Oryzias latipes: one gene and its partner. The protein of the gene in region 2 purifies or fractionates together with the protein of the main gene of each other region. This does not show direct contact. Links are inferred from orthologs where the notes say so. Each region holds a gene or a part of one and is shown on either strand. Other genes may lie near its edges. The genes, in order: transducin-like enhancer protein 1 and en1.

Region 1 (3,822 bases), on a different chromosome or scaffold from region 2:
CCCTCTCATAGAGAGCAGCAGCTTGTAAACCCCAGACACTACAGATACTGTTCCTTCTGCTGATGACTTCAATAGTGCCAGAAGTTTATTGATTAAATTGCAGAGTGCTATTGATTTTTTTCACTAACTGGTGGCTATGTTTCATTCACGTGTCCTAAGTTTTTGGTGTCAGGTGTTGTTGTGGTTCGCATTTATTTCAGCTAAAGTCTCATGCAGTTACACATGTTGTGCTTGCTATGACTCTGCATATATATGTATATATATATGTATATTTTTTTGAGCTCATCCCACTTTGTTTTCCTTTTTTAACAGCAACAACATCTATCCCATAACCATGGGGGTGCCCCTGTTCCACTAACCCCTCACCCTGCTGGCCTCCATCCCTCCCAGCTGGGTGGTTCAGCGGGTCTTCTCGCTCTATCGGGAGCACTTGGTGCGATTCCTCCCCATCTGGTAGGAAAAGACGGAGATAAAAAGCCTCATCTGTCCGGACCGGACTCACATCCTGCAGCGGCCGAACTCCTTAGAGGTGAGGAGATTTGATGGAAAGAAAAAGTAAAAAACTGTGGATACTATTATTAACCTTTAAAGTTTTGTGTCTTATATCATAGCAACCATGGAAATATGTTAACATACGGGGGGGGGTATATGTAATGCTTTTCCCACTCCCTTTCACGTACTAAAAGTTTTTTGAGTAATTATTTTCAATGTAGCTAATTTTGTATTTTTTTGTTTCTTGTCGTTTGTGGTTTTCCATGTGGCTGAACGTTCTACCCTGTGACCCTAACTGCATCCATGTTTTTCCAATGGCAACAGAGCGAGAGCCCGGCACAGTGAGTAGTTCCTCTTTCTGCCCGTAAAAACTTCCTGTTCTGAACAACAACCGACTTTTCCTTTCTGTTTGTCAGTCAGTGTGGTTTGAATCGTGGGGGCCTGAAGTTTGGTAATACATTTGAGTTTTATTCTTTTGGCTCAGTTGAAAGCACATCTTTGGGGGTTTGAGGACTCAAAGAGCCAAAAAAATTATTGTTGACTGTGAGGCTCAAATACATTTTGTGTCAAATGTAAGTGGCAATCGCCTCACTATTGTTGGAAGTTGTGTTGTCGTGTTGAGTCAACTTTGGTTGAGCACTGTGAAATTAAATGCAAGGAAGGTGAAATCATTATGTATTTATTGTATTTTGTCATGGTGCTAATAAGTTTTAATAAATAACTATTATTGACTCCCTATTCTTCAGTGGTTATTGGAATTTATATTATAATTACATTATGACTACATCACCTGATTAAAAAAAATCTAAGTTAAATTGATTAATATAGCACTGCTTTCATCCTGACATATGTTGTTGAATGCTTGTTTCAGTGCATGTGTGTGTGTGTTTTTGTGTATATCGGGAGTCTCTGGGGTAGGGCTTTGGCCTGCCTGTTTAGTTATGCCCTAGATCTGCTCGGAACTGGTTGGCTTCTTTTCTCCTCCAAATGAGCCTCTTACCATGGTCACAAGTGCCCAAACGTGCGCGCATGCGGGCACACACACACACACATTCACACACAAGCTTGTCCAACCTGGCTTGCATTGTTGTGACTATTTAACACCTCAGTGAGCAGATTACCCCCTCCTCCCATCGCCCCTGATCCTGCGCTTAAAGACTCTCATTGTGTTTAATATCACCACCTCTGGGAGGGGAGGGCTTGAGAAAGGGAGGGAGTGGGGGGTGGGGGGGGGCAGTCATATGACACTGAGCTTGTGTTCATGTGTGAGAGGGGACACACCATGTTAAAAGCGAATGGGGCGGAGCAACGGAGTGCACGATTGCTTATGTTTAGCGGGTCAGTGCGTCTCAGCTCGCTAAAAATTTTCAATGAAGAGGTGGGAGTGAAGTAGGGGGGGGCTTTGACTGGATAAAGATCTCCCACCCACAAGGCTTTTTTTCTCCACCATCCCTCGTCTGTTGTCACCCTTTCTGCCCCTCTGTGCCCTCCCTCCATCTTCTCTGTCCTCCCTCCTCTTTTTTTAAGCCCCCCCTCCCCTCTAGCTGTTCATCCTTCATTTACCCTTTCCCCCTTGAAGTGCTCACTCCCTCGCTGAGTCTGTGCATGCGCATGTGTTTGTGTTTGTTGGATGAACATTTCATTGACAGGCTGAGACTATAATGGACTCAGCATGAAGCTTTAATCCATTAACAAAAGGATTCATTGGTCAGGAGGCCAGAGAGAGATGACTCTGTTTGTGTGCCTGTTTGCTTAGCAGTTGTGTGTGTGTTTGCATGCATGCCTAGTCTTAGGACACTAAAGTGTTATGCAAGTAACACACAACCACAGTCTGTTGCACATGTAATGACACACACACAGGCTTTCACAGACAATTGAACTCCATACACACACACACACACACACACACAATCAGGCTTTAGCTAGCGCGGCTTGTCAGAGCCAGAAGAGGGAGCACTGATAGAGTTTGAGAGCCACTTAATGTAATCATCAACTTCAGAGGCTTCCGTTTGTGTTTAGCTGTGACTGTCTTTGGTCAAGTGTGAAAAGAGGTTGCTGTTAAAATGTTAGTGCTGCTTAATTCATGTCCATGTGAGCTGTTAACTTATTAGCAAGCAAGAGTCTGTTTTTCTAACCTGCTCTGCTGAAAGCTCTTGTAGATAACTGCTGATGGATCTGACCACTTAGTAAGCTCACGCAGATTAAACACACAGTCAGGCAGGAGCTAAACTAAAACCCTTTGCATTTTTAGAATCCCTTCTTTCCTGCAAACCTTTTTTTCTGTTTGCGGTATCTTACCTTTCTTATCTACATCTGTTCTCATTCCTGCAGAGTAACTCGCTGCTGCCGGAAAGTCTTAGGAACTCGGATAAGCGGCGCAATGGGCCAGACTATCAAAACGACAACAAGAAACGTAAGGTGGATGACAAGGACTCCAGTCACTATGTAAGGATTGGGTTTAACTTTGATCTGTCTTGCTTTTAAAGACCTACCCAAATAAAAATCCTTTTTTTTGTGTATTTAATATTTTAAAAAGTTTTCTTACAATGGAGGACATATACAAGAAGATTGCACGTTTGAGTATTTTTTTTTTTAATAATTTAGAATCAAAAGCAAATGAAAAGAAAAAAACAGTTTGATGCTGTTTGAAAAAGTGTGCATTAGTAAAAAATACAATGGGCAGGTTTTGTTTTTTCTCAGCTGGATGGCTATAAACGGCATAATCATAATGAAAAGACCTCTGGGAAGACTTTTATAATAGATCAAAAGTTTATTGGAGTGGGACTTTAAAATAAAGAGGAAAACATTTATTGTTGTGTCTCTAATTTACATTATTCTGTGATTTGCTCCATTAGGATAGTGATGCAGAGAAAAGCGACGACAATTTGGTGGTGGATGTTTCAAATGAGGTCAGTATTTATACTTCTTTTTTTTAATTTGTTGTTCACTTTTGTGCATGTTACTGTGTGTAACTGAATTTTTGTGGGTGTTCTGTAGGATCCTGCTTCGCCGCGTGGGACACCTCTTCCCTCCCCAAGAGAGAATGGGTTGGATAAAGCCCGACTCCTTAAGAAAGACCCCTCCAGTCCAGCCTCCACAGCTTCATCAGCCAGCTCCTCTTCCTTAAAGTCCAAAGAGATGGCGATGGTGAGGACCGCCACTTTTGTGAGTCCTAGTCACTTAGAAAAATATTTAAGGAAAGTCGTCTCCTGTGTGACAGCGAGATAAGGCGGGAACACCTGGACTGAAGTCGAGCACACCCACTCCCAGGGGTGACTCCACACCTGGACCAAGCTCCACACCTGGAATCCGACCAAGTCTCTCAAAACC
Region 2 (4,305 bases):
CTGTTGTGTGACCCCTATAGGTTAACGGTCAGGCGTGACGTCAGTTTAATTGGTCAATTAAATATTTTTGAAATAAAATCGTTTAGTATAAGTATTTCTTTTTTTTGGTTACATTTGTTTCAAAAGTCCATCCAAAGTGTTTTTGTAAAAATGTTTGAAATTAATATTAATGTTCATCACAAAAGTTTACATTTTTTTTTAATTTAAAAAACATGAAAAAAAACGATTTTTTTTAAAGACCGTTTGCTTCCTTTTTTATTTTATTTTTTGTTTATTTCAGACTACATGTGAACATATTAAAAATCTTTGGCTTAACGGGTTGATTCGTTGAGGGGGGAAAAATTGGCGCAAACATGAGGGATACTTAAGAAAAAACAAAAAATAATAACAAAAGCTCCGGATGGAAGATGCGCCTGAAACCAAACACATGATAACTGTGGCTATATAAACTTTAATAACGATCGTTCATTTATATAATTATGTCCATATACCGTTCACATAAACAGAAATCTGTCTCTTTTTTGTCTCGTTTTAAATAGCGTCCGTTGCGCGCGCGCGCGCGCGCTCCTCACTCGCTCTCGTCCTTCTCCTCCTGCACGGTGGTGGTTGAATGGTTGTAAAGTCCTTGAGCCATGAGCTGCAGGGCCAGCCCGTTCTTGTAGCCGCTGGCCTTTTTGATCTTGGCCCGCTTATTCTGGAACCAGATTTTAATTTGGGACTCGTTCAGGTTGAGTTCCTGCGCCAGAGACTGTCTCCGCTGCTCCGTTATGTACCGGTTGGCCTGAAACTCGGTTTTCAGTCTCTGCAGCTGCTCGGCCGTGAACGCCGTCCGCGGCCGCTTGTCCTCCTTGCTGTTCTTCTTCTTTTTCAGTTTCCGTGTCCTCGGCCCTGGTGTGGAAACAACAGTGGGAATGAAATGTTTATTTACAGGCTGGGAGGCGCTCCTCCGCCGCGCGCGAGGCGACAAATATGTCATCAATTCAATCTAGAGTCATTTAAGAAACACTTTTCCATCACGTGTTTTCATTACATCCTCTGCAATGGTCTCAAAGTGGCTTATCTATTTCCTCATATTCTTATGGCTGATAATTAATCAGGTACAGGTGAGGGGGAGACAAATCAGCCAATCAGAGGAGAGGACGGCGCACCTTCACTCACAACTAATGAAATAAGGAAACTACAAGCGACATTCATTAAATGAAATGAATTCAAACGCTTCAATAAATAAATGGAAGTCATATATTGCAAAAGTATTTCATCAACAAAATAAATGCATTTTTTCTTTTTTTAACCTAAAAAAGACAAATTAAAGTTAATGATTTATAGTCATGTACTTTTATTTTGTTCATTTGTACAAAAATCCTGCTATCATTATGTATTATTCAAGGGCAAAATAAACCTAATATAAAGGAAAAACGGCTAAAACATGAAAACAAAAGCTGACCATAAAAAACTTTAATGTTATTGTGTAATATGCTAGTTTAACAATGACAATAAATAGTTAATCAAGCAATAGTTGTGCGTTTATTTTATTTTATTTTTTGCTTTAGTTTATCTTTTATTTACAACACTGGTGTATATTTCAAAGCAAATTTTTCTTGTGAGGTCAAAAAAAAGTTTTACATCCTCAAAGCTGGATTAGAGTCAAAAATGAAATAAAAATTCAAATATAGAAGAGTTTAGTTTTTAAAATGCAGGTTCAGAAACTCTTTGTTTTAGTTAATAGCCTTCTTATTAATTATTAATCAAAATAAACGTATTTCTTGTTTTTGCACATAAATGCATAGATGATATAATATAATAATTTTAAAACAATATTTTGCTCTAAGTCCAAATGTGTAAAAATTTAATATTTCCACAGAAATTTTATTTTTTTCTCCCCCATCTTTTATTTATTTACACAACCAAACAATTTAAAAAAAATGTTTTTTAAAGACTTTAAGTTAAAAAATTATAATTTTTTTATGAAGCTATATTTTAATGTTTTTAGTGTGTACACATTACAAAATAAACATGACAGTATTTTTATGGAAATCCTAATAATTATCGCTGTAAAGTGAAAATAAACGATTGGAAATGGTGGGAAAGCGGTCCAAAGTGGTCCGCAGGGCCGCAGCGGGACTGTCAGCGCCTTACCAGATGACGGCCGGTCCGAGTACCGGGTGCAGTAAACCCAGGCGGGCCATAGCAGCGGCTGGCTCTCCTTCGTTATCGGCGGAGACGCTCCGTTGCCGCCGCTCACAACCACAATAGAAGACGGGCTGTCCGCGTATCTGCCCGTCCCGCCGCCCGCCGCCTCGCCCTGCTTCGCCGAGCTCTGCTTGGACGACGGCGACGAGGACGACGACGAGGCGGGCGACGACGAGGCGCTGTCGCTGCTGCAGTTCGAGTCCAGGCAGAGGCTGCCGGCGTGCGGCCTCGCCCCCAGCGGGTTGACGTTCTCTCTGCCCGCCGTCTGGCTCCGGTAGCCCGGCTCCTTCCTGCAGCCGAAGTCCGGCCGGAGGATGTTGTCTATGAAAAAGTTCGTGGTTCTGTGCTGCTGCTGGGCCGCCTGGTGGGGTAGAATCACGGCAGGGGAGGGGAGGTTCGGCGACAGCGACATGCTGCTCTCGTCCTCGGTGGAATCCCGGCCGCTGCCGGGCTCCTTGCGCTCTTCCATGGCTGGTGATGGGGCAGAAATCCCGGCCTCTCCACGCCAAGCTCCACTTGTTGCTCCCGCCCCTCTTCGGTATCCAGTTTAGACGGTCAGCATTCAAAAACAAGCCCAAGTGTCTGCGCAGGCTTCTACAATCACCTACAGAGGCGACATGTCTGCTGGCAGAGCCGACATCCACGCAGGACGCAGTGCCGCGGCTTCTCCCCGCCGCAGCGTAAATATCTCTGAATCTGCTCCTCACAAAAACCGTTATCTCCCCCCGCGCGTGCGTGCCGCCCTTTTTTTTCCTCCTTCTTCTTCTTCTTCTTTTTTTTATTTTCATTTTCTGACACCCAGCCGGAAGCACGTGTGCACGTAACACTGCAGACCAATCAGGTGAAAGAGAGGGTCCAGATCAGAGGCGACGCCGACCAATCAGAGCACAGGAAGGCGAGCACGCGCGCGTACAGTTGATCGGCGGGATGGAGTGGGGGGGGGGGGTGCGCAAGTTGGCACACACGTCAGGTGGCAAAGAAAAATAAGGGTTTTTAAATCCGTAAAAACGCCACACTTTAATTATTTTTATTGTATTTGTCTAAACATGTTCATCGTTGCCTTTAACTTCATTTTGTTAAAAATGTTGCCTTGAAAAAATAAATACATTTTTCAAAATAAAAAAAAAAAAAATGTTAAGAACACAAAGTTGTTTTACTATGTTTTTGCTTGTTTTGCAATGACCTTTAGCCTATTATTTATTATATATAATATATATATGACACACACATATATATACATATATATATATATATATATATATATATATATATATATATATATATATATATATATATATATATATATATATATATATATATATATATATTATGTTGGGGAAAAACCCCACAGATGCTGTCAGAAAGTGTACAATGTCAAAAATATATACAAATTGTATATTTTATTTGCTTTCTCGTTATCTACAATACATTCATCCTAGTTGTAATTTTTATGTTTTTATTATTTGGAATTATGTAAAATATTGATATTCTTTTTTTTCTATTTCTATGTCAATTTTAAAAGCACTACACGTTTATTTCTATAAATGGGGTTAATTGCACATTAGATTTAATTTTATTTTGCTTTTTAAAAACCTTTTTATCCTGATGGAACATCTTACATAAACAAAACTAAAAGATTAAAAAAAATTAGAATAGAAAAATAACGGAGTGTTTCCCGGTTGTAATAAACTATTCAGCCTAATAAATGTTTAAAAATGGCATCCAGTTGTAATTGGCAATTTGAAATAATAATATTAATAATCTTAATGGCGACAGCATGAAAGTGGGGACGTGTTGATGGTTAACTCTGGTTAAATCTTTATCCCAGCGGCCGGAGTGCTACTTAATTAAATTCCAATTAGGACAGTATCAATGCGCAGTTTAGCAGCAGCGCCTTTGTGGGTAAATGAGCTCTCAGTCTGCTCTTATCTGCTTCTGCAAAGAGGCCTGCTTTGAGGGGGGAGGAAGAGGAGTGGAGGGGAGGAGGGAGGGGGGGCAGCAAAAAGGTAATTTATAGCTTTTAATTAGTCTTCACTCCGCTCGATGTGGCCGGCGTTCATCACCGAGAGCGGCCTGAATAAAAGCCGGAGTCCGACGCGCCGTCACCGCTCCCTG

What was found.
Region 1: the proteins of en1 (region 2) and transducin-like enhancer protein 1 purify together in Homo sapiens (affinity purification with western blotting; 4 studies listed by BioGRID and IntAct, with this or other methods). This does not show direct contact. The link is inferred for Oryzias latipes from reciprocal best matches to the Homo sapiens genes EN1 and TLE1.

What each region holds. Positions count from the first base shown.
Region 1 is NC_019867.2:10,627,854-10,631,675, forward strand, and holds part of transducin-like enhancer protein 1, read left to right. Parts: intron 1-312; coding exon 313-529; intron 530-816; coding exon 817-833; intron 834-2,823; coding exon 2,824-2,937; intron 2,938-3,347; coding exon 3,348-3,401; intron 3,402-3,489; coding exon 3,490-3,639; intron 3,640-3,712; coding exon 3,713-3,822. UniProt on the Homo sapiens protein: Transcriptional corepressor that binds to a number of transcription factors. Inhibits NF-kappa-B-regulated gene expression. Inhibits the transcriptional activation mediated by FOXA2, and by CTNNB1 and TCF family members in Wnt signaling.
Region 2 is NC_019860.2:18,270,749-18,275,053, forward strand, and holds en1 (homeobox protein engrailed-1), read right to left. Parts: upstream 2,951-4,305; 5' UTR 2,660-2,950; coding exon 2,137-2,659; intron 901-2,136; coding exon 569-900; 3' UTR 248-568; downstream 1-247. UniProt on the Homo sapiens protein: Required for proper formation of the apical ectodermal ridge and correct dorsal-ventral patterning in the limb.